4 linked regions of the Drosophila melanogaster genome follow. The protein of the gene in region 3 interacts with the protein of the main gene of each other region in a pairwise test. Each region holds a gene or a part of one and is shown on either strand. Other genes may lie near its edges.

Region 1 (4,908 bases), on a different chromosome or scaffold from region 3:
ATATTGGTTGTATTGCTGGCTTCTTCGACGACATTTAGAAACTAAGATAAGAACTAAACACTAAACTAGGTCAAATGTACAATTACATAAATAATAGCTCACAAAGTGCGTTTCTATATCAAAAGGAAAAAAAAAAACAGTTTATTTTTGTTTAGAGTTTACCTGCTTAAGTGTTAACAACAAACAAATTCACTAAACAAAGACAAGCAATACATTACAAAAAAAAAAATCAGTAATATAGTGGCTAAATATATCATATTTATATTTATATATATGTATGCAGTATTATCATATAACGCTTCGTAATAGGTTCTATATAAACATTTACAATTACAGAAAGGACACCGTAGCATTACCTAGTAATCCTCTCTCTCTTTCTCTCGCTCGCTCTCTCTCGCTCTCTTCCTTTCTATCCCTCTGTTTCTGTCTCTTCTCTAGCGGCTTGTTTTTTGTTGCTTTTTTCGTTTTCGTTTTTGCTTTAACAATGTGCGGTTTTACAGTTTCTCTTTCCGTTGTCCTGCAGGATATGCTAGAATGCTTGTAGCACAGTAGTATAACAGTTTCTTTTCTCACTTGCTCTTAAGTATCTCCGTTTTTTTAGGGGGGTTTCAGGGGTCTTTTGGGCAGGGAATTACCAAAAAAAATTTGTTGTTTCAATCGAAATCGAAAAGAAATTCGCTTCACAAATTGTACTATATATACGCAAACATATACATTATGTTTTTAGTGTGTGTATATTATGTTTTCTTGTAAAATATATATATATATAATAGCATAACAAATTTTCAACAAAAATCGAAAATCGATCCATAATCATTAAGCATAGTGTTTTTTCTTCTTCTTTGTTTTCTTTTACTAGGAGAGAAAGAGATAGAATGCCACAGATCTTCTGTCTCTTAGTGGGGGGGTTTCTGTTACGCTTGTGTTTGTAGTGAAAAACCTGGTTTTTGCCTAATTAAAATACTAAAGCCAAGTCGCGCCAACTCACAAATGCCCTACGTATGCACATATAAGTTTTTCGTGGGCTTTTCGATTACTTTTCGTCGTGGCAGCTTCATTTTTTCATATCGTTTGGCTATAGGGCTTTTGTGAGTTAGCGTGGCTCTACTGTAATTATTACGCATACGCCACCGTGGCCGTTTACTAGGTATTTCTCATTTGCTCTGCTGTTTTTGTGGTTGTGTGGGTGTGTTGCTGTATCTCTTAGGACTGCTCCAGCTGCTCCAGCGGCTCCTCCTCCTGGTTCCTGATCCAGCTCCAGCTCCCTATCCATCCTACTTCTTGCCATTGAGTATGTCTTCGCGACAGGCGACGGCCGCCACCAGGGCAGCTCCACGACCGGAACCGTCCTCGGACAGCATCAGATCGAAGGTGATGCCCGGCTTGATCAGCTGCGAGATCTTCTCGACCATCAGGTTATGGAACTTGGGATGGAAGCGGTACACACTGCCATCGACGCCCACCGTCACCGTTGGCTCGTCCATTTTGTTGATCAGCGTGGCAATGCCGGCGGACACCAGGTGGGCAGCCCGTTTCGAGACGCACTCGCAGATGTACCGCACATTGGCGCAGTCCCCGTCGGTGGCATTGGTCAGACCGAGCTCCTCCAGCACCAGGCGGCAATTGGTGAAGTTGCCTGGCTCGTCAGCTTCAATTTCGCTCACATACTTGGTGAAGAACAGTCCGCGGGTGTTTAGCACTTCGGAATCCTGTCCATTGAAGAGTATACCCGCCTGGGTCATCTTCACCAGCACCAGACGCACCAGCTCGCCCATATACATGCCCGATATCATCTTCTCGAACGTCTGCTTGCCCGGATTGATGCTGTGCACATCGATGTCCCGATCGAATTCGGTGCGCACAAAGTCCAGTGCGCCATTGTCGCCGAATGCGCCCCATTCCGTGTTGATCAGGACGTGCTTCTTGCGCGGATCCTCGGCGGCGAAGAGCTCCGCCTCCTCCACACGCTCCATATAGCAGGCATTTGCACCGGTGCCGACAATCAGACCGATCTTGCAGTTGTGATTCTTCCAGGCGCAGCTCATCAGCGTGCCAGTGGTGTCATTGAGTATGGCACACACATCGATCTGGACATCGCCGCGCCGTGCGATGGCATCCTTTAGCAACTGGACAACATCCTCGTTGACGACGCCAGCGCAGTTGAAGCCCTTGGTCCAGGTCTCCAGCAGGCCCTTGGTCAGACCCAATTGGCGCAGCGGGAACGAGAAGGTGAAACCGAGTGGCAAACGCTCCTTGTACACATTGTGCTCGGCCATAAAGTTGGACAGACATTCGGCGATGTGATCGAATAGCTGTGTACCCGATCCAATCATAATGTGCTGCGGTATGGCATAGATGCGGGACTCCATTTGAAAATCGTTGTTCTCCTGCAGATGGATGAGCAGCACCCGGAAGTTGGTGCCACCCAGATCCAAGGCCAAGAACTTGCCACGCTCATTGCCATTGGGCAGATCCTGCACATACGTTACGAAGCACTTGACATTCGCCTTGGGATGTGTATCCTTGGCCAGGCCGCGGCGCAGCTCGTGCAGGATGCGGTAGCACAGCTCCTGCACCTGTTCGTCCGTTAGAAGCAGCTGCTGACATAACTCGTGCACCATCTTACTTTTCTCTGCAGCGGATAAGAGTGCAATTTGCTGCGGGCTGTGAGTTGTAAGATTTGTGGTTGTGGCTGTTGCTGTGGTTGCATTTGTGGTCGCTGTCGCTGATTTTGTAGCTGCCGCCGTCGTTGTTGTAATTTTCTCTGTTGCACTCAGTGCCGCCCCCTGTGCCACGCCCACGCGGTCCGTTTCATCTAGCCCGCCACCGTTATTGTGACCATTCAGTTGGGCGCTATTTATGGACACGCTCTTCATCGCCCCGTTCAGCTCCCGATCCATTATTATGTTGGTGTTTTCCTGCTTGTTTTTTTTTTCCTTTTTTCTTTTTTGATTCTCTCTGCCTTTTTTCGGTTCTTTCTTGCTCTGGCTGTTTTTCTTCGATCTTATGCGCTTGCACTCACACGGCAAAAAAAAAACGTTTACAATTTTCGTATTCGATGTGCACACTCGCGTTGGCTTTTCTACTTGGGCATTTGCAGTGCAACCTTTTCGAGTTGGTTTCAATTTTGAGTCTTTGAGTGTCCACACACACGATTCTCGCTCTCGCCGTGTTTTATTTTCGTCCGCTGCACGCGTCCAAACGCTCGGAACGTTTTTTACGAAATTAAATTCACTCGCCGACTGGTGCTCACTTTTCGCTGTCGCTGCTGCTGCGCTGCCGGCGCCGACCGCGACTGCGAGCCGCGCTCACACTCTCACTCTCTCTCTCTCTCGCTCGCCGTGAAGGAACCTTGAAGGTCAAAAACTGAAAATCGGTTTTGGGGCGGCATGGTTGGAGATATGGCGTGTATATGTGCGACGCTGAGGGGTCCACAAATGGCATATTGATAGGGTGCGCGTGAGAGAGGGGGCGAGAGAGTGGCTATGAATGAGAATGAGTCAAACGCGTGTTTATGCGGAAACCCTTATGCGTCGCGTAAGCAATATCGTGATCACGCATTTGATAAACATTTTAATTTGTCATCTCAAATATAGTCAATATATTTCAGGCTTTTCTCTTCAAGGAAAAAAATTATTTTCTTAAGATGTTAATGGTTTAATTAATGTTAATGGTTAATGGTTTTGCATTTCTTTGACAAATTAAATTGGTCGCCTATTATCACTGTGTTAAATTTGTTTTGATATTAATTACGCTATTAACTAACTAATTTACAACATTTTTAAGAAATATCTCGTTCTTATCGTGCCATAAACGCGGAACTACAAGGGCCTGGCGGCGACGCTCTCTCTTTTTGCTTCCGCTTATGAGAGAGCCGCCTTTTGTCGTCGTCAGCAATTTGGCTGATATTGACACCCTACAAACTGTGGGGTGCAATGGAATTTCTGTGGCACAGAAATGTATTATATATTATATAAATATATAAGAAAAAACAGTTTTCTGATTTTGCAAACAAGTTATTAGAAAATATTCAGTATACGTTTATTACTCATACGCCACCTAGGCCCAATAAATTATCTCTTTTGTATTAAGCTCAAGCTAAACATGTAGACTGCCTTTATTATAAATTGTGTAAGGAAGAAGGTCAAAAGTAAGACCACAGGTACAGGTAAGCACCTGTACTATATTTACCATTGTGGGTCGCCAGTTAGTACGCAAAATTTTTTTATTTGATAGAGACACATGTATTTATATCCATTTAATGTCGGTAGCGCATTTAAAAGTAGCCAATAGGATTTTTCGTTGCTGCCTGCGTATTGGCTTCGTTCTTTGAACCCCCTGTTCGGCGCCGGGCCCCACCACCCGCTTTCCCACTCTCAGCGATCTCGCTCTCCCTCGGCATCGGTGTTAGTATAACAATGCCGTTTTAGATGAGAAAGAGCAAGGTTTACCCAGAAAAATGGGAGAGCAAGTTTGCGTAGCTGTTGACAGCTACCTTCCCCTCCCCAACTCCCCTACCATCATCGTCTCACCCGTTTTTACCGCTTCTTGGAATTCTCAAGTTCTAGCGACGCGTCAACATCCTCAAATACATATATCTTTGCATTTGTATGTATTTTTGTTCAGTGTCCGTGGGGCTCGTCTCCCCGCCCTGCCCTCTTTTGTGTGTGTACGTGCCGCCCAGTTTGAAGTTCCGCTCCCTCCTTCTCTCACTCTCTTCCCCTCTACTTCGCTCTTTCTGGCTCTCCATTCAATGGAATTTTGTTGTTTCATATTTTTGCAGCTAGATTTCATGTGCAATTTCCATTCGGTGCTGCGTTTTTGCATTGTTGTTTATGTCTTGTGATCTTTTTTGTTTTCCAGCATTTTTTCCAAAGAGGCTCGTCCGTAATTGCAACAACAACGAGT
Region 2 (5,316 bases), on a different chromosome or scaffold from region 3:
GCTGCCTTTGCTGCTCCAAGGCCAAGGCCAATTGCTGCTCAGCCGCTGCCGCTGCCGGCGTCTGTTGCTGTTGCGTCTGCAATATCAGCTGTGTGGCCGGCAACGCCTGTTGCACCACATTCAGCACCGTCATGGGACTCCGGCTGATCACAGCGGCCGCCGGCATTCTCACATAGGTTGCTCCGGCCGTTAGGCCGCCAACAGCATTGCTTATGTAGACAGGTCGTCGTTGCAGCTGCACAAGAGCCGCCTCGGTCACGGGCACCGACAATCGGTGGGTGGTTGTGCTCACAATACTACCGGCGGGCAGTTGTACCAATTGCTGTGATCCTCCGCCGGCTGTTGCGGCGCCACCAGCGGCACTACTCGTCGCTGCTCCAGCTGTTTGCGTTGCCGCACTAATTTGGTACTCCAGCTGGCCGTGCTGCAGCTCCTCGTCATCGTCCTCATCCTCTTCCTCCTCCTCGTCGGGCATTTCATCATCCTCTTCCAGCTCCAGCTTAACTTGCGTGGACAAATGCGCGGTGGTTTCGGGCTCCTCATCGGCCTCGGCTGCCTGAGCCTCCTCTTCGATATCCTGCAGATTCTCATCGTTCAGCTCGGGATCTTCCTCCTCCTCGTCCTCCTCCTTGATATCGCTGGCGGCTAAAACGGACGAGTTACCCGTGGCCTGGATTATGATGCGGCGTCCGTTTAGCAGATGATGTTGCTGCTGTTGCTGCTGCTGCTGAATGAGCAACTGTTGCTGGTTGTCCAAGTGATTGCTGTTGTTGCTATTGCTACTGCTGCTGTTGCTGCTAAAGGAAGCGCTGTTGTTGGTTGCTGCGGCTGCTGTTGCTGCAGTTGTTGCTGCTACTGCTACGGCAGCTGCGGCTGCTGCTGCGGTCGGTGGGTGGTTGTTGCTGCTGTTGTCCAGCTTCAGATGATGATGCGGATGATGGTGTTGCTGCTGCTGCTGTTGCTGCTGAAGATGCTGCTGCTGTTGCTGCTGATGCGAATGCGAGTGAGGATGATGCTGCGAGTGATGATGGTGATGCACATGCGTATGCTGGTGAGGATCGTCGTCCTGCTCCATGGGAGCATCCTGCAGTATAAATTCGATCTGTTGCGATAGGGCGCTATCGTTAATGGCCATTAATCCGTCCATATCTTTGACACCGGCAGCGGCGCCAACGGCGGGGAAGAGCGATGGCAGCGCCGTCGACGTCCCGCTGCCGCCGTCGACGTTCGTCGCGCTGCTGGCCATGGCAGCGATATACTAATTGATGTATATTTCCCTTATTTGTATCTGCAAATCGTACAAACATTTGGATTAGACTCACATTCGGCCATGGCTGGTGGGCAATAACTTACGTTCTTCTCTTGAGCTGTTGGGGATGCGACGCCTGTGTTTGGCGTAAACCTCCAGCTATGTTGAATATATTGTTAGCCTGAGAAATAGAACAATATTATGAACTCTGCCACAAAATCTAACAAACAAGTTAAGTCCATTCGAGTTTCTGATGTCTTAAAGTACGGGTTATTAAATAAAACTAGATGAAAGCGAAATGCTTTCAGTACTGAGAGGAACAACTATACAAAACTTTGGTGATTAAGTGATAATTTCATCGAAACGAACTAGTTTTTGTTTGGAAAAAGCAGGGCTTGTTGTTACTTACAATTTTTTGTTTGTTTCTTGTCGTTTTGGCTGCCAAAGTTTTCTTTTATGTTACTACTCCCTATTTAAAAATCTTGCCTTTGGGCGTCTGTTGTTTCCTCTTCTACAGAATTTTGTTTGTCGAAGCTGCCATAATTAATAATTGTTGTATATTTTTCAAGTTGCCGCTTCCTCTTCGCCTTCTTCTTCTTCTCATAGATTTGCTGATGGGCTTCTTCTTCTGCTTTAGTTATTACATCTGTTTCTTCCTCCGTTTATTCTGTTCTCTTTCGAATGCCGCTTCTTCCTTGACTCGTATTATTATTACTATTATTCTTCGATTATACGATTGGAAAACACACACACACGCACACACACACACGTTCTTGTATTTTTGTTGTATTTTGTTTTGTTTTTCGTTTGCTCAACGCCTCGCTGTCGGCCTTTCCTTTATGTTCACATTTGGTTTTTTGGGCTGCACAAAAATTTTCCATTTCCTTGTCATGCGGTTTTCTGTGCTTTCCATGCGGCGACGCTGGCGTCGACGTCGCTGCTGGCTGCGCTGCTCCTGGCTGTCGTTGTTGTTTTAGCTTTTGTTGTTTCCTTGCTTGCTTTCCACATTTTAGTTAAAAATGTTTCTGCGCTGTTTTTTGTTGTTTGCTTCACGCACGCACACACACACACAGAAGTCGTTACATTTGCTCCTTTCCTTTTTGTTATTATTATTATTATTGATCTGCTCTCCTCTTTCGCATTTTGTGCAATTTGATTACTAACTGTAAGTGAGATGTAGAAAAATCAGGTAAATTATACACGTTTTTGCTGCTGTTAACAATTAAATGCGTTTTACGAAATCCGATTTTCCACCCACACTCACACACACACACCAGTGCGCGCCTTGGAAATAAAAACAAAAAATTAATTTTAGCTTTTCCCCCCACTCTCTCTCTCACCATCTCTCACACACACACACATTCACAGGTTTTTCACTTTTGCTCCATTTTTCTTTCGGTTTTTTTTGGGGAAGTCTCTCCTCTCCCTTGCTCACACTTTTTGACCTTTTCGATTGTTCTTCTTTTGCCTTTTTCTTTTGCCACTGCTGTTCGTTCCTTTGGTTTTATGTTGCGTTTATTAACTTGCTAATTGTTTAGTTCGTTTTATTGAATTTGTTTGCGTTATTTTTTTGCCATTTCTTTTTCGGTTTCGTTTTTTTTTTTGCAAGGCAGCAACAACAACGAACGACGAGACAATTAGCGGCTGCGCTGCTTCTTCTTCTTCTGCTGCTGCTTGCTCTCCTACTCTGATTCCTATTCTTCTTCTTCTTCGTCCGTGTTTCCCAGCCGATTTTTGCTCCCCCGCGAGTAGTTTTTCTTTGGCTTTCCCCCGTTCGCCTTTTGTTGTTGCCGTTTTCCACACACCCGCTTTACTTTTCACATCCGCAAGCTCGTTTTTCCCTTTCGCGCTGTTCTTCCACACTGTTCAATAATAACAAAAAAATATTTGCTTGTGTGTGAATTTTTGCCTCCCTGGGTCTTACTACGCTCGTGTGTGTGAGTTAGTGTTGCGCAGGGTTGCATTCGGCGGTCAGTGTTGGTAAACGAACGGGCGATGGCGCGCAATTTCGTGCAATATTCAAAAAGTTAATTGGTTTTCGGTTGGCCCGCACACAAAACAACGTTACTTTTATTTCGTTTTTCTTTTTGGTTCTTGTCCTACTCCGTTTCGCCTTTTTTTTTGCCTTTCTTACCCTTTTTAAACACCCACACAACTTCGTTCTCACTCACAACACAAAACCAAAATATACAGCAGGGGTCAATGAAATAGTATTATCAGGTACATCTTACTCAACATCTATTAATTTTTCCTTAAACAGATTATTTTTAAATAAGAAATGAAAAACAACATTTAATTATTATTATTAATTTAATAGGGGCTTAGTACACGCATTTTAAGATCATACTACAAGCGAGCATCTACTTTCAAAAGAAGGCCGTCTTAACGAATTCCCTATTCTCTCGGCCACAACTGTTCCTAAAAGGACTGCCAGAACTTGGAGCCCAAAAAGGGAGCACAAAAAGAGGACGTTGTTGGGCGGGGGAGCAGGGGGAGAGCTGACCTAACAAGCGGAAATACATAGGCACAAAAGAAATACGCCAAAAGGCAGTCGGCGTGAGCGAGAAGGATGGAAAATGGTCGAATTGCGCGAGAGCGAAAGAGGGGACGCTAGCGCGTCATACGTTGCACAGTGGAGCGAAATAGGTGATAATAAAACAACAAACTCATTAATATTACATTTAAAACATTAATTTAGTGCCTATGAGTTCACTGGAGCGTGAAAATTCGAAATTTGTTAGAACACCTAGTCTGCGCGTCCCACTGTGCGATGGGGCCCGCAGCGGGGGGCGACAAAAGGCGTGAGAGGTGGAGAAGCCGTTTTATTTCGACAGTTTCTGAATTGTGCTCTCTCTCACTCACTCACTCTCCTTCTCCATCTTGCTTCTCCCTTTTTTCGAGTGCTGCTCCTGGAAAGATGAGGAGCAAGAGGAAGAAAACATCATCACCTTGGAAGAAAAAAATTTTCAGTGGGAAATAATTCGCTTCGTTTTTTTTTTGGTCTTTTCATTTGGTGGGTAGTGGGTGGTTTTATTGCTCAGTGATTTTTCGCCGGGCGGCGACGGGTGGTGAAGTTTTTGGGGGTTGAAAGCACACACACACACACTAACGCAAACATCAGCAAAATAAAGGGCTAACAAGGGTTAAAAAATATCCGCACAACAAAATAATAGCAGATAAAAAAAAACTAAATGAAATTCACACACAAAGGCAGCTGGAATCCTCTCCCCCACACAACCACACACGCACACTCAAAGAAAAGAGAACTAGTTCTTTTGTTTTTCTCTTTTCGTAACTAGTGGATAACTACTTCCATGCCATACATCCATATATATAAATTTACATATTTATTTAATTGTTTATATTTTTTAGCTGGCGCCGCTCTCTTGCCCTCTCTCCATCACACATTATTCGCACTTCACGCGCACGCACACACACACACTCGCACATGCTCGACACGCACACTCCTTTCGCTTTTCCATCGGTTTTTACTCACACTTAACATCACATTTTCGTTTGTTTGCGGGGTGTGTGCAATGCAGTTGGTTTAGTTTATCAGTGGTTTTAGTTTGTTATGTTTTTTACAGTTGCTTTAATTGCGTTTTATCGCCTTTTTGTTTTGTTTTTTATTTTTTATGAAAGGTTGGTAATGTGACCAAAGCCTGATGCTTAGAGATGGAATAACTAAAGCGATACTGGCAACAGTCACTATCGATACTTTGTAGGTACATCGATACATCGAAAGGAGGTGCAATTGCCAAATATTTAAAACCTAAAACTAAAACTGAAAATACTAAAATACTTACTTGATGTCTGGGCACACTGAAACTGGGTTTTTGAATTTTTACCGGTTTTTTATACACAGAAACACGAAATGCCGCCGTTTTATAGCCGTTTTTCAATTAACCTGAATCAGTCTATTCGAACAATTAAATAACTTGACAATTGACGTTGGCAAAAATGTAAAAGTAATTCGCATTGTAGCTGATGTTATATGAATTTTACAATGCTTGGTTCTGTCATGCGATGAAATAATATCATTTTACATTCATTTAGAATCGACAAAG
Region 3 (3,952 bases):
GCGGAAATCGATGGCAATCTGCAGGTCGTGCTGGCAGTCCTGGCACATGAACCTGGGCAACTTGCCGTCCTCTTTTAGCTGCAAAGTGATTACAGATCGCGGCATTTATTCGGTTTTTATTTTCGCAAAACGCTAACGCACTCACCTGCAAGTTAGTTAGAGTCTCTATTTGACGCAAAACGGAAGAACTCGATGGATCGAAGAGATTCTTGGCTACCGCAGGATCAGCCATACGAGAACAGGTCCTGCAAATGTACCTCATGGCTTGTGTAATGAGATAACGCAGCACCCCGATCGATTGGAAGTGTATCTTTTTCGGTTTGTTTGGACGGAAGAACAAGAAAAGCGGCATTCGCATTTCTCAGCCCCACGCATAGTCGATTTCGAATTGACATTCGCCCAGCAACGCGGCCATTCCGCCGATTTTCAAAATCTCAATTTGTTGTTACAAGTTTTTTTCAAGAAATAAACCATTGTATCTGCAGAGCGAAAAGTCGAAAACCTTTGATGTCACAGGTGTACATTTTGATTATTTCTTCTTTTAGAACCATCAAATCAAAAATAGAATCAATTTGTTCAATTTAGGAATCTTATAATAAACTTGTACTTTCAGCAGTCCACATGAATTCTAGACAATCCTAGCACTTTCAGCTCTTCGCTGGTGTAATTTAGTGCTTTGATGTAGGGTCAAATGGGATGAGCGCAGGAACCACTGGTCACAGATCTCGCAGCTGGAAAATACAGTCAGTTTGCACATATTTTACGGAGGACAGCTAGTGCTCCTACTTACTGGTACTTCCGCTGATTAGTGTGCAGCATCTCATGTTTTTGACGCGTCGACGTGGAGGTGAAGGCCTTGTCGCAATGCTGGCACTGAAAGGGACGCTCGTTGGTGTGGGTCCGCTCGTGGACCACTTTACTGCTGCATCCTCGGTAGGTCTTGCTACAGAACCGACAAGCGTACGGTCTGGCGTCCGTGTGAAGGATTCTGTGGCGCCGCATCTCGTTATCCGTGTAGTACTTGGCCTGGCAGATGTCGCACGCGAACGGTTTGTGACCGCTGTGTCGCTGCAGGTGCAGTTTGAGGTAGGTAGAGGACTTGAAGACGCCGCCGCACTGGTCACAGAACCAGGACTTGGAGTTGCGCTTCGTACGCTTGGGGACACGGGCACTTACTCCCTTCGAGATGATGGACATGTTATGGAGCTGCTCTTGACAGTGCTCCACCTCCTCTGTTTGTACTTGTACTTGTTCCTCCTGATTCTTCTCATTCTGAGTCGCATCTTCTGCGTCCTTCGCCTTCTCATTATCATTGTGATCTTCCCGCAGAAGCCCAGCTGTATCTGCCATTGCTACACACATTTCCTGATCCGTGTGGTCCCACAAATCCTGCTGTAGCTTCTCAACATCCGGTTTATCGAGTTCCTCATCAACTATCGCCTTTTTTCGCAAAAGTTTCCTGTTAGCGGCCATAAAAGACTTGTGGACCTCCAAGCACTTATTGCGAAATGTTAAGATCCTGTCCAGCTGCACTTTGCAACATTGGCAAATTAGATGTGGCAGAGTGGTGTCAAATTCGAGCTAAACAATCATTTAAATCAATTAAATAGACAGCATACTTTAGTTTTATTCACTTACATACATACATATCGGTGATATTTTCCAGTATACTAATAAAGTGATAGTTGCTTTTGTTGAACAGTTTGGTAGCCCGACCCTGCAAATTGGTCACATTTTTGCCACAAGTTCGGCAAATCGATCGCAACTCAGACATTTTGAGCAAACCAAACGATATTTAAAAAGGTTTTTTAAAACTCAACATTATTGTGATGCATTACATTCAAGTGAATGGCAAGCGAGATAATGAAGATGCACATCAGCTGTTGTCTGTTTACTAAGTGCATGTGCGTGGTGTGTACACACTGGCTAAACGATATTTGAACAATTCAAAACAAAAATATAAAATTGTATTATTTTTTTTTTTTTTGAAAAAGCATAGACGCATCCAATACTTTTCTTTCATTTTAAACAACAATTTGGTTGAAATCGGCATCTTTTAAGAAATCTAACTTTTATTCGTTTCAGAACTAAAATCTTAATCAGACTTCTTTGCTCTCGACTTAATGTTATATATAAAATTCGTTGAGCCTTGCATTAAGTGCACGCTTATGCTGATATATGGCTTTGCCTGGCTGCATGATCACTAGGTGATACCTACTCCTTAATTCCCATTCTGCAGACCGGACAGTGGCGGCCACCATTAGCCTGGTACTGGTGGAGGCACTTCTCATGCAAGGCGTGGCTGCAGCGCAGATACACCATGGTGTAAACACTTAGGGGATCTAAACAAATCGTGCACAAGTCACCGGCTATATTGACATTAACCACCTTATCGCACTCGAGGCACTTTCTATGGGAATAGCGAAACACCAAGTAGCAGAGATTGTGCATGGCATGTCCACACCTCATGCGGCGCCGGTCGTCATCACTCAGTTCATACTGGCAAAAGGTGCACCTGCCATTCGGCGACCTGCAATGAAACAAGGGATTTAAGCCAACATTTTAGCTTTGAATCGCAAGGCACCAACCTGCCCACGATTCGACGCTCATTTAATAGCACCCACCTGGAGTAAGGCGAACTGCGGTCGTTATGCCAATTGAAATAGGCGAAAGCGGCAACGGACACCAGGCCCAAGCCTATTATTAGATTCACGTAGACCATTTTCCGCTGGCTATTGGCCTAAGTAACGTGGAAATAGAAATAAGTAGAGATTTTCCATGAAATCCCCAAAAATTAAATCAAATTTCCACTTTAGTGGGACCGCAACTGGTCGGCACTGAAAATCCAAATAGAATTGCTTGGCCACATCAACTGGCCTATTGATCATGATCAAGAATATATATGAAAATGAATTAAAAATTAATGCTGGTGCCGCAGAGGAGAGTCCTCGCAGCAGTCACTGTCCCGCCAAACCACGTCCCACCGACTTGACCTGCAGGACAGGACTTCCCCGTGTTCCAAACTCCACCGTTCCGCCTTTAAAATACCGTGTCGCACAGCCGGTATCCAAGCAGTCCAAGTGTGGCATTTAACCACCTACTCGCGCACAGTCACACCGATTTTCAGTTCGTGAACACAGTTTGATGAACTTTATGCGGAATTTTAGGGATTTGAGAATTTTGACGAGTCCAGGCAGGGGTTACTAAAGTCTCGACTCGCCCAGCGTGCGCCATCGATTTCGGCGTGGAAATCGAAGTGAAACCTCCAGCGCCGTTGCCCGAGAAACACACACACAGACACCTAATCGGGCACACCCCCACACAAAACGGGCAGACAGGAGGATTTTCCGCTGGCAATTACTCGGTGAGACGGGCGGTTAACTTAACGACGGCCATAGCTATGACGGACCGCGAGCGCAGCATTCACGAAATGCTGAAGGATGCGCCCTCGCTGAACGACAGCTGCGGAGCGGTGCACACGGGCACCGAAGGCGGCAGCGGGATCCTTGGAAGCGCCAGCAGCCACAGCATCGCCGGCGGAGGAGGTGGTGGCGGCAACGTTGGAGTTGGTGTCGGCGGCCCCTTTGGCGCCCCCAGCAGCCTGCCACTAAGAAACCATTCAGGTGAACTATTTACGAGTCCTCGATTTAGCGACCAACTGACTCAGCATCGATCTTTTCGTGCAGCACCCACCACACCCATGTCGCCCAGTAGTCCACCATCCGGTAACGGCATCCTGAGCCCCACGGACAGCGGGAGCGGCAGCATTATACGCACTAGCGCCTCCAAGATCGACAGTCTCAAGAACTGGAGTATATCGACGTACAAGTGTACGCGACAGATAATGCTGGAGAAGTTGGGCAAGTCGCAGCGGACCGTGGACTCGGAACTGGAGGCCCAGATAGAGCAGTTGCGCGAGACGCAGCGCAAGTATCTGTCCATCTTGAGGCTA
Region 4 (7,996 bases), on a different chromosome or scaffold from region 3:
GGTCTGCGTCTTGCCCAGGCATCGTTGGCCAGCTGCCAGTCGAGGTTCTCTTTGGCACGTTGCTGGTGATGCGGCTGCATGCTGTAGGCATTGGAACCACCACCACCACCAACGCCGCCACCGCCTCCTCCTCCCATATCGTGATACCTGGGCGTGCTGCCCGTTCCGGAACTGCTGCCGTAGTGATGCCTCTGACTGCTCGATGATTGCGAGCTGGGACTGGGCACATTGTGACCATAGCGAGGCGTCTGTGAGGCATGCGGCGTGTAGGGCGTCATGAACGGAGTCTGTCCACTGGGCGTGTATGGCGTATTGATGGCGCCAAACGACGGCGTCGATGAGCTGCCATAGTGGGAGGAAGATACTCCAGCCCCTGGAGCAGAACTGCCCGACGTGCCGTAGCCAGTGATGGATTGCGTAATGGAGTAGGCGCTGGAACCGCCACCGCCGACGGCACTGCTGATGCCACTGCGCGGCGTTCCACCAGTCACGCTGCCAGTGACGCTGTAGGGCGCCTGGGGGCCCAAGGAGGTCTGGGATGACGACGAGATCGTCGGCGGCGGACGCATCAAGTGCAGTGGCGTTAAGTTGGACGCCGAGGCGCTGGCCGGCGTGGCCGTTGGATCCAGCCAGTGTTCCTTAAACCAACGCAGCAGACTGTTAACCGTATCGAAAATCTGGCCACGGAAACGATAGCCCTCCGGCATGACCGTCACATACTCGTGACGCACCTTCGTCTTGGGCAGATAGGACAGCAGGAACTTGCCCGGCATGGCGCGTGAGGCCGTAAAAAAGTAGTGTATCTTCTTCGGATCATTTGCCTTCTCCTCGCGCAGCAACTTTTCCATGACATCCCGTTCATTTTCATCGCCGGTCACCATGTTTGGCTTGTAGTACTTGTACTGTATCAGTTCGCGGGCAGCCAAGGCCATCGGCATGATGTGGCGGGCGATGATCTCGTCCAGATCCTCGAACTCCTCGGTGCCGATCCACAGACTTCTGCCCAGGCTGAAATCGTTCTCTTTACCCTCCTCGCGCACATCGATGTGCTGGAAGATGTCGTCGGCCACCTTCCAGGTGGCTGTCAGATGGTCCTTGGACTTGCTGCTCGGACGCAGGGCCACCTCGCCCTGATCGGCCTCCGCTAGCATGGCCACCACCTCCGCGTACGACTTGTTGAAGAAGCTGGGATGGGCGATTACGCGACGCGCGTAAATTTTGCGCTTCAGAGCCCTGGCCTTGGCATCGCTCACTTTCCGATTGTCCTGCTCCTCAGTCACATAATCATAGTAGTTGTCGCGACGCGGCCGCCACTCATTGTTCACATCCTTAAGATCAGCGGTCCTCGAAGAGCATTCGACTGAGAACCGGTCAATGTCTATCTTAATGATGCGAACATGAATCATCTGTGAGACGCGCACACGTTCTTCGGGATTGCGAACCTGTCTATCGGACAAGTTCTTGATGTGTATAAAGCCAGGCAGGCCGTTCTCCAGACGCACACGCACACCAGATGGCTGGCCAGGGCACGCGTTCGCGTCAAAGTGATTCCACACCTCGGACAGCTCTGGGAAGTCGTCCTTGTGGCAGAAGGGGCACTGCCAGCTTTCGTTGGAATCTAGACGCACCGGATTTGCGCTGTCTAGCTGATCGCCCTGCGGCCGACGGTAGGTGAAACCGGTGACCATGGCCGTGACGCACTTGCCCACATAAAACGAGTCGGGCGTCTCCTTGGTCAGCATATCGAAGAGCTCCTCCGCACTGGGCTTTGTGTACGGAGTGCGGTAGTCCTTGTACAGGCAGCTCAACTCGTTCCTTATGTCGTACAAGGTTATGCTCTTGCTGCCGAATCCCTGGCGCTCCAGTTCCACAGCGAATGCGTCCAGATCGAGATCCTTAAGGCGCTCTGGCGACTCGAGAATTTCCTCAAGGGCACCGGCCGGATTGGTCTCCTCGTCGTCGTACTCCATGGCATCGATGGCCATCTTTCTGGCCCACTCGTACGTTTCTGGATGCACACGCGACCCGTCCAGCACCTCGACATACGCCTCTGTGCTGTCGCCCAGCGATGAGGTATCGATCTTAATGAAACCGCTGCAGTTGATAAAGACCCTGGGCCCCAGATGACACACGGTGACCAGCTGGGTGCGGTTCTCCAACCGCTGGTTGCTCTGCTTAAGAAGTTTAAGTAAAGCCTGACCCTTGCGCGGACCCAAGCCACAGATGTACTGCAGCAGGTTGATGGTCCGTGAGTTCTGCACCATCAGGTTAATGTCCAGACCCACCTCGCTCGTTCGATTGATAAACTGCAGGCTGAGCTGCTCCAGCAGCTGTTCGCGCGGCACACGCTCCTGTAGCGGATGGTAGCGCAGGCAGAGAATCTCGTCGTCCGCATCACACAGCTGTGAGTATTCCACTAGCGGATCCTGCATCTTGCGGGCCAGCGAAGCAGCCTGCTTCAGCAGAGGAGGATACTCCTTAAAGTCAGACTCGCCCTTCTTCGAGTTGGCATAGATCTTGGCCAGCTCGTTGTCGATTATCTCCACCTCGATGGGCGGAAATTGTTCGGAGGTCTCGAGTTCATGCAGAATCTCCTTAATGTCTGCCTGGATGTTCTGGGCATCGCGCGATTCCGCTCCGATGACAACAATGTGTGGCTTCTTCATTTTGATAAAGTCACTCAGCTTTCGAAGGTCGGCCAACTTCTGGGCCTTCTCCTCAAGGTTGTAAGAATTCTTGCGCTTCAGAATGTTCGGCAGTCGCAGGTAGTCGGAGATGTCGCCCTCCACGGTAGTCACCGCACAGAAAGCGGCCACTGAGTGATCGGGATCGTAGGCCAGACCCAGCACCCGTATGCCCCTCAGCGTGCTCCACTCCTCGTAGCCAAAGTCGGGGGGCAGTTGCGGTTTATAGGGTGCCACCTTTAGCCACTTATACAGCTTACCCGTGCAGGAACGCAGCACAAATTGCTGAGCCTCCTCGTGCAGAGTTGAGCGCAGCTCCTTGATCAGATCCGGAATGACCCACTTCTGCAGCGCCAGCTGTACGCATTCCGCCCGCAGCTTATTCCACTCCTGCACGTGCTTGGCAAACTGATCCAGCTGGTACAGGGCCTTGGACTCTTCCACATAGTCACCGGGTGTTCCGTTGGCACACGCATTGCCCTCGAACTCCTCGAGGAACGTTATCTCCAGCAGCTTCTCCTCCTCGGCCATCATTAGCTTTATGAATTGATCGCCAAATAGATCGCTTACCGGCTTCTTGGCCACGTACTTCATCGAATACACCGGCGAATTCTCATCGATCAGCACCATGCCATTCTTGGTGGGCCGTATGTTAATCCTAGCTCTGTCGAAATACACCTCACGCATGGTCTTGCGCAGCAGAGGCTCTTGTGCCAGCTGTCGGGCCACAACGTATTTTGCGGCATGGATAACCTCATCCGTGGTCATGAAGCGCGGCGACAAATATTGCTTGGCCAGCTCTGTGGGACCGATGCTTTCCTGGGTGATCTCATTGCGCTGGTAATTGTCGCGCAGATTTTCGGCATACTGCTCCGGCGTGAGACCAAAGTGTTTGGCAAAGCCGCAGATGCCCGCCTTGCGGAATACCGCATAGGGACTGCTGTTGGACGCCTGCTTTAGTTGGTAATCGATCAGCTCGGGATCGTCATCGTCTTCCGGCTCTGGTACAACTATCGCCTCGGCCGCATCATCACCGTTCTCAGCGGCGGCTGCCTGGCGACGCGCCTTGGCCTCGCGACGCTCCTGTATAGCTTTTCGTCGCTGCTCCGCCTGCATGCGGGGCAGCTCATGCGAATAGTTCAGCAGAAAGTACATGTGCACGTCCTTTAGCTCCTCCATCGACTGTACGTCGGCGAGGCGCTCGAAATCGCTGTCCAGGATGAGGCGAACATCATCCGGTACGGGTTGATCTGTGTCGGCGCATAGCGTGTCCAGCTGGAACTGACGCATCTTTTCGAAAAGCACCTTTAGCTTGCGCTTTCGCTCGTTTAGCTGACACCAGATCCCATCGTAGTAGTAAACCTTCCAGAGATCGTCGATATTAAGCTCTGGCTTCACATACTCCTTGCGATAGAAGGCTATAAAGGGCACCTCCAACTGCTGGTTGCGTATAAATTCTAGCGTCTGCTTAATCTTGTTAACGGTTGTCGGTGGTTTGCGCATTTTCTCGCGGCTCTCCGGCTTTTCCTGTTCCGAAACAGTGTGCTTGCAGAAGGCATATTTGTAGATCCATTCAGCCTCGAGGTCCAGCTCGTCTGATCCCTCGGGCACCGGGGTTACGGGCACCTCTCGCAGCTGCATTCTTTCTGGGATGTCTGTCTTGCGAATCTCGTTGTCCATATCGGTGAAATGACCACGCTTGAGCTCGCTGGGCTCGTATATGTCGAAGATTGTCTTCTTGACCACCTTCTTTTTGAGCGCTTTCTTCTTCTTGACGCGCGTATCATCGCCGACGCCCAGATCCTCATCGTACTCATCTCCTTCCGAGTCATCTTCGTAGTCGTCTTCCTCGTACTTTGAGAAGTCGTCATAGTCGAAGTCTACGCCAAAGATGTCCTGACCCTCTTGAAGTGATCTGTGGTTGGATTATATTAATCGTATCTATTGATATCTAAACTTTATTATAGTTTGTATACTTACGCGTCTGTAAAGATGGGGCGCCGTTTCTTCTTCTTCTCGGCTATGGGACGCCCATTATCGTCCACAATGAAGTCATCTGCGTCCGACTCCGTATCCACGTCGTCGTAGTCGTCCGCCTCCCTGTGACTGCGCTCGCTGCGATGACCAATGCTCTGTAGGATCAGGGGCAATCAGTTGGACACTGTGCATTAATTGGTGGTCAGGGATTACTAGTGGCATACCTCATCGTTCTCGTCGAACAACTGCTCGGCAATCTGCTCACGCACCAGACCCTCGTCCACGTGCTGCTCCTCGCCATCGCTTTCGTTGTCGTGGATGCGACGCAGACGCTTGAACCGCTTCTACAAGGGAAAACATAATTTCAAACAATATATTTGAGGAGATAGAAGCCCCAATCCCTCAGCTATGTTATTCTTTGTTAGTTAAGCTTCGAAATTGGAGCCACAATTGGAGTTTAAAAAGTACATAGTTCTTCCCTGAAGGGAACACCTACCCGTCTCTCGACTTTGACGCCCAGATTCTCCTCGATAAGATCGTAGTCGTCGTCCTCCAGTCGATCGTCCAGATCGTCGTCCTCGTGCTTTTTGCGCTTCTTGCCGCTGCCGACGCCATCGGAATCGTAACCACTGCCATCGTCCTCCTCGATGGGATTGTCGTCGATCAGATCTTTGAGCTCTTCGCGCAGCCGTTCCTCGTCGTCTACGGAATAGGGCAATAAGAATATCGGTTTACCTTTTACCTTCATTGTAGCCGCAGATATACATATGCAACTGAAAACTGTTTTTAAAGCTTAAATTTAAGTAATTCACCCGGTTTTGAGAAAGACCTACATTTGATAAATTACCTAGATTTCGATATAGATAAGCCCTAACCATTGATTATTCCAGCTCCATCTATTGAACTAATTCTCCCTCCCTGCTTTGATTTGCAATTTCTTGGAATACGCCGCGTTCTTCCAATTCGCCGCACTTGTTTTATTTACTGGAACGAGCGCAGCTGTTTGTTGTTGTTGCTGCTGCTATTGCTACTGCTGATGCTGATATTTGATGGCCACGGTAGCACGGTAAAAACACAAGACCTAACCTCAAAGTTGTAAACAAAAGAAGTTGCAAGCGTGTGGCATTGGCCAGTTATAGGTGCCTTTATCCCGGATATGGACTGTTCCGATCGATGGATGGTGAGAGGGGTGAAAAACCCGCCAGAGATCGCCACATACGTATGTATGTATGTATGTATTTGTACGCGCCTTCAGCGGCTCCAGTGGAAAAACTCACCTTCTTCTTCTTCGCTACTATCGGAGACGGCCGCCTTCAGTTTCTTGAGTCTCTTGCGCTCGTTGACGTCCAATTCTTCCTCCTCCTGCGGGAAAAACGAAGAAAAGCCATTTGGTTAATTCAATATATATGTAGGCACATATGTATGTACACACACGCAAGGCGCAACGCACACCGCACACATAACGACGCACGAACGGTACGCGCTTCTAGAAATAGTGTTTTTGGGGTTCCGCAGACACCTACCTCCGATTCCTCGGCCTCGGAGTCCAGAAATTCGGCCATAATATAATGGAATAAAGCTTAACTTAATAATAAAGTGCGTATTAATGCAGAGAAACGAAGAGTTTGTGAGCGTTTCTTCCTCTTCTCTTCTTCTTTATTTCTCATCGCATTGCACAAAAGTTGGTATTAAAATACTAGCTAAATACTAAATACCACGAACAGTTTTCTACTGTTTACAGTACAGTTTGCTGTTAGCTTACAGCAGTGTTCTCGCTGCCAGCCCTGGTTTGCATTGCAGAACTACAGTGGATCCTTCCTATAACCTATGGTTAGTTATCCGTTTTCATGTGCTGACAACAATTGGACAAGAATTTTGCACACATACTTGTATTGATAAGCGGGAAAATTCCCCTATATGGGAACACACATATGCCCTTTGGTCTCAACGATGAAGTTTGCTAATTTCCATTATAGTCCATGGCATACTTCCTTTACATAGTTGACTTTTATGAGTTCTTACCGAAAAACCAACACTAATTGTAGCGCATAATAATTTCTCTCAAAAACTAGTGGTAAACGTAATGAACAATAATAATAATAAGCAATAAACAAAATTCGCAAACTTGTGAATTAAAAGTTCTTTAAAATTATTAGTGCATTTGGTATTTTGTGTAGCTTCTAAAGCCTTATTTTTGCTGGCTTTCCTTGTCTTCCCGTACACGGGCACACTTGTCGCGCTGCAGTTACATTTACTGCTCCGCCGTCTCTGGGCACACTGTATTGTTGTTGCTCGACGAGGAAATACTATTAGTATTTTTTTTCGTTCATCCTGAAAGTTTAAGTGGACGAAACGAGCGGCGGCCGACTCGACACCGAGCCGAAATTCAGAAAGTCTATTGCTTTGGTCGAGAACAGATTGTCAGGGAACTTCACTTCATTTACGCTCCCAAACAAACGGCAAAGGTAGCATTTCCAAAAACGAATTAAATCGAAATCCAAATAGAAATAGAAGTAGAATTAGAAAAGCCATAAGCGCAAGTTAACGAGACAAGACAACAACAATTCGATTCGGCGGTTTTTGTTTTTTTGCCAGTGTGTGTTTGTGCTACGCTGTGAGTGTGCATTAGTGTCCGGTGCTCCTGTTGTTGTTCTTGTTGCTGTTGTTGTCGCTTATTGTTGTTCTTGCTGTTATTGTTGCTGTTGTTCGCAAGGCACAATAACACAGGCTCATACAATTGCGAATATTTAGAAAAAGCAAAGCATATACATATGTGACAACAAACGCCAAGGAAAAACTGGAAAGCTAAGCAAAGGAAAACCAAGAAAAAGAAAACAAACAATTGAGAAATTAAGAAGCGGCAACTGAAGCAGCAACATGGACATATTGAATGAGTTCAGCAATGTATTCTGGAGTACGCACATTTGGCTGCCGCCGAACACAACCTGGGCGGACATTGCGCCCGGCTCGCGTCCAGATGTGGTGCACGCCAACTACAAGGACCTCATATGGCCCATTCCATTCGCCGCTGTTGTCATGCTGGTCCGCTACACGCTGGAGCGGTAAGTTTTCCACGTCCATTTTCCCCCCTCCGCACTCTTCCCAACCAACTGACTGACTCCCTTTCCATTCTCGCCATTCCCGGCAACATGATTCCATTCCGCCTCTTTCTCTAACCCCATTCATACGGCTTTCCCTCGCTCTCTCCCGCTCTTTCTCGCTCTCCTTACCATTGAGTAAGCCCACCGCCCCACGTTTGTTGCACCATGTACAGTAAACTTTATTCATAATTCCTTCTTTTCTCCATTTCATTTCATTTTTTTTTTATCGACAAA

The links.
Region 1: the proteins of CG31441 (region 3) and Hex-A interact in a two-hybrid assay, tested with the Drosophila melanogaster proteins (one large-scale study listed by BioGRID).
Region 2: the proteins of CG31441 (region 3) and CG32767 interact in a two-hybrid assay, tested with the Drosophila melanogaster proteins (one large-scale study listed by BioGRID).
Region 4: the proteins of CG31441 (region 3) and Spt6 interact in a two-hybrid assay, tested with the Drosophila melanogaster proteins (one large-scale study listed by BioGRID).

What each region holds. Positions count from the first base shown.
Region 1 is NC_004354.4:9,584,211-9,589,118, reverse strand, and holds Hex-A (hexokinase A), read right to left. Parts: upstream 3,230-4,908; 5' UTR 2,901-3,229; coding exon 1,275-2,900; 3' UTR 718-1,274; downstream 1-717.
Region 2 is NC_004354.4:5,079,828-5,085,143, forward strand, and holds the start of CG32767 (uncharacterized protein), read right to left. Parts: upstream 3,199-5,316; 5' UTR 2,590-3,198; intron 2,413-2,589; 5' UTR 1,659-2,412; intron 1,431-1,658; 5' UTR 1,354-1,430; intron 1,289-1,353; 5' UTR 1,247-1,288; coding exon 1-1,246.
Region 3 is NT_033777.3:11,234,179-11,238,130, reverse strand, and holds CG31441 (uncharacterized protein), read right to left. Parts: upstream 1,846-3,952; 5' UTR 1,775-1,845; coding exon 1,643-1,774; coding exon of another isoform or gene 1,639-1,642; intron 1,582-1,638; coding exon 791-1,581; intron 732-790; coding exon 629-731; 3' UTR 507-628; downstream 1-506. Other genes in the region: CG31388 (uncharacterized protein), read right to left, coding at 1-78, 146-262; CG17721 (uncharacterized protein), read right to left, coding at 2,215-2,530, 2,589-2,722; Arfip (arfaptin), read left to right, coding at 3,401-3,623, 3,687-3,952.
Region 4 is NC_004354.4:6,266,134-6,274,129, reverse strand, and holds the start of Spt6 (Spt6), read right to left. Parts: upstream 6,334-7,996; 5' UTR 6,224-6,333; coding exon 6,185-6,223; intron 6,024-6,184; coding exon 5,939-6,023; intron 5,364-5,938; coding exon 5,158-5,363; intron 5,006-5,157; coding exon 4,886-5,005; intron 4,817-4,885; coding exon 4,665-4,816; intron 4,600-4,664; coding exon 1-4,599. Other genes in the region: schlank, read left to right, coding at 7,539-7,723. UniProt on the Drosophila melanogaster protein: Histone H3-H4 chaperone that plays a role in maintenance of chromatin structure during RNA polymerase II transcription elongation.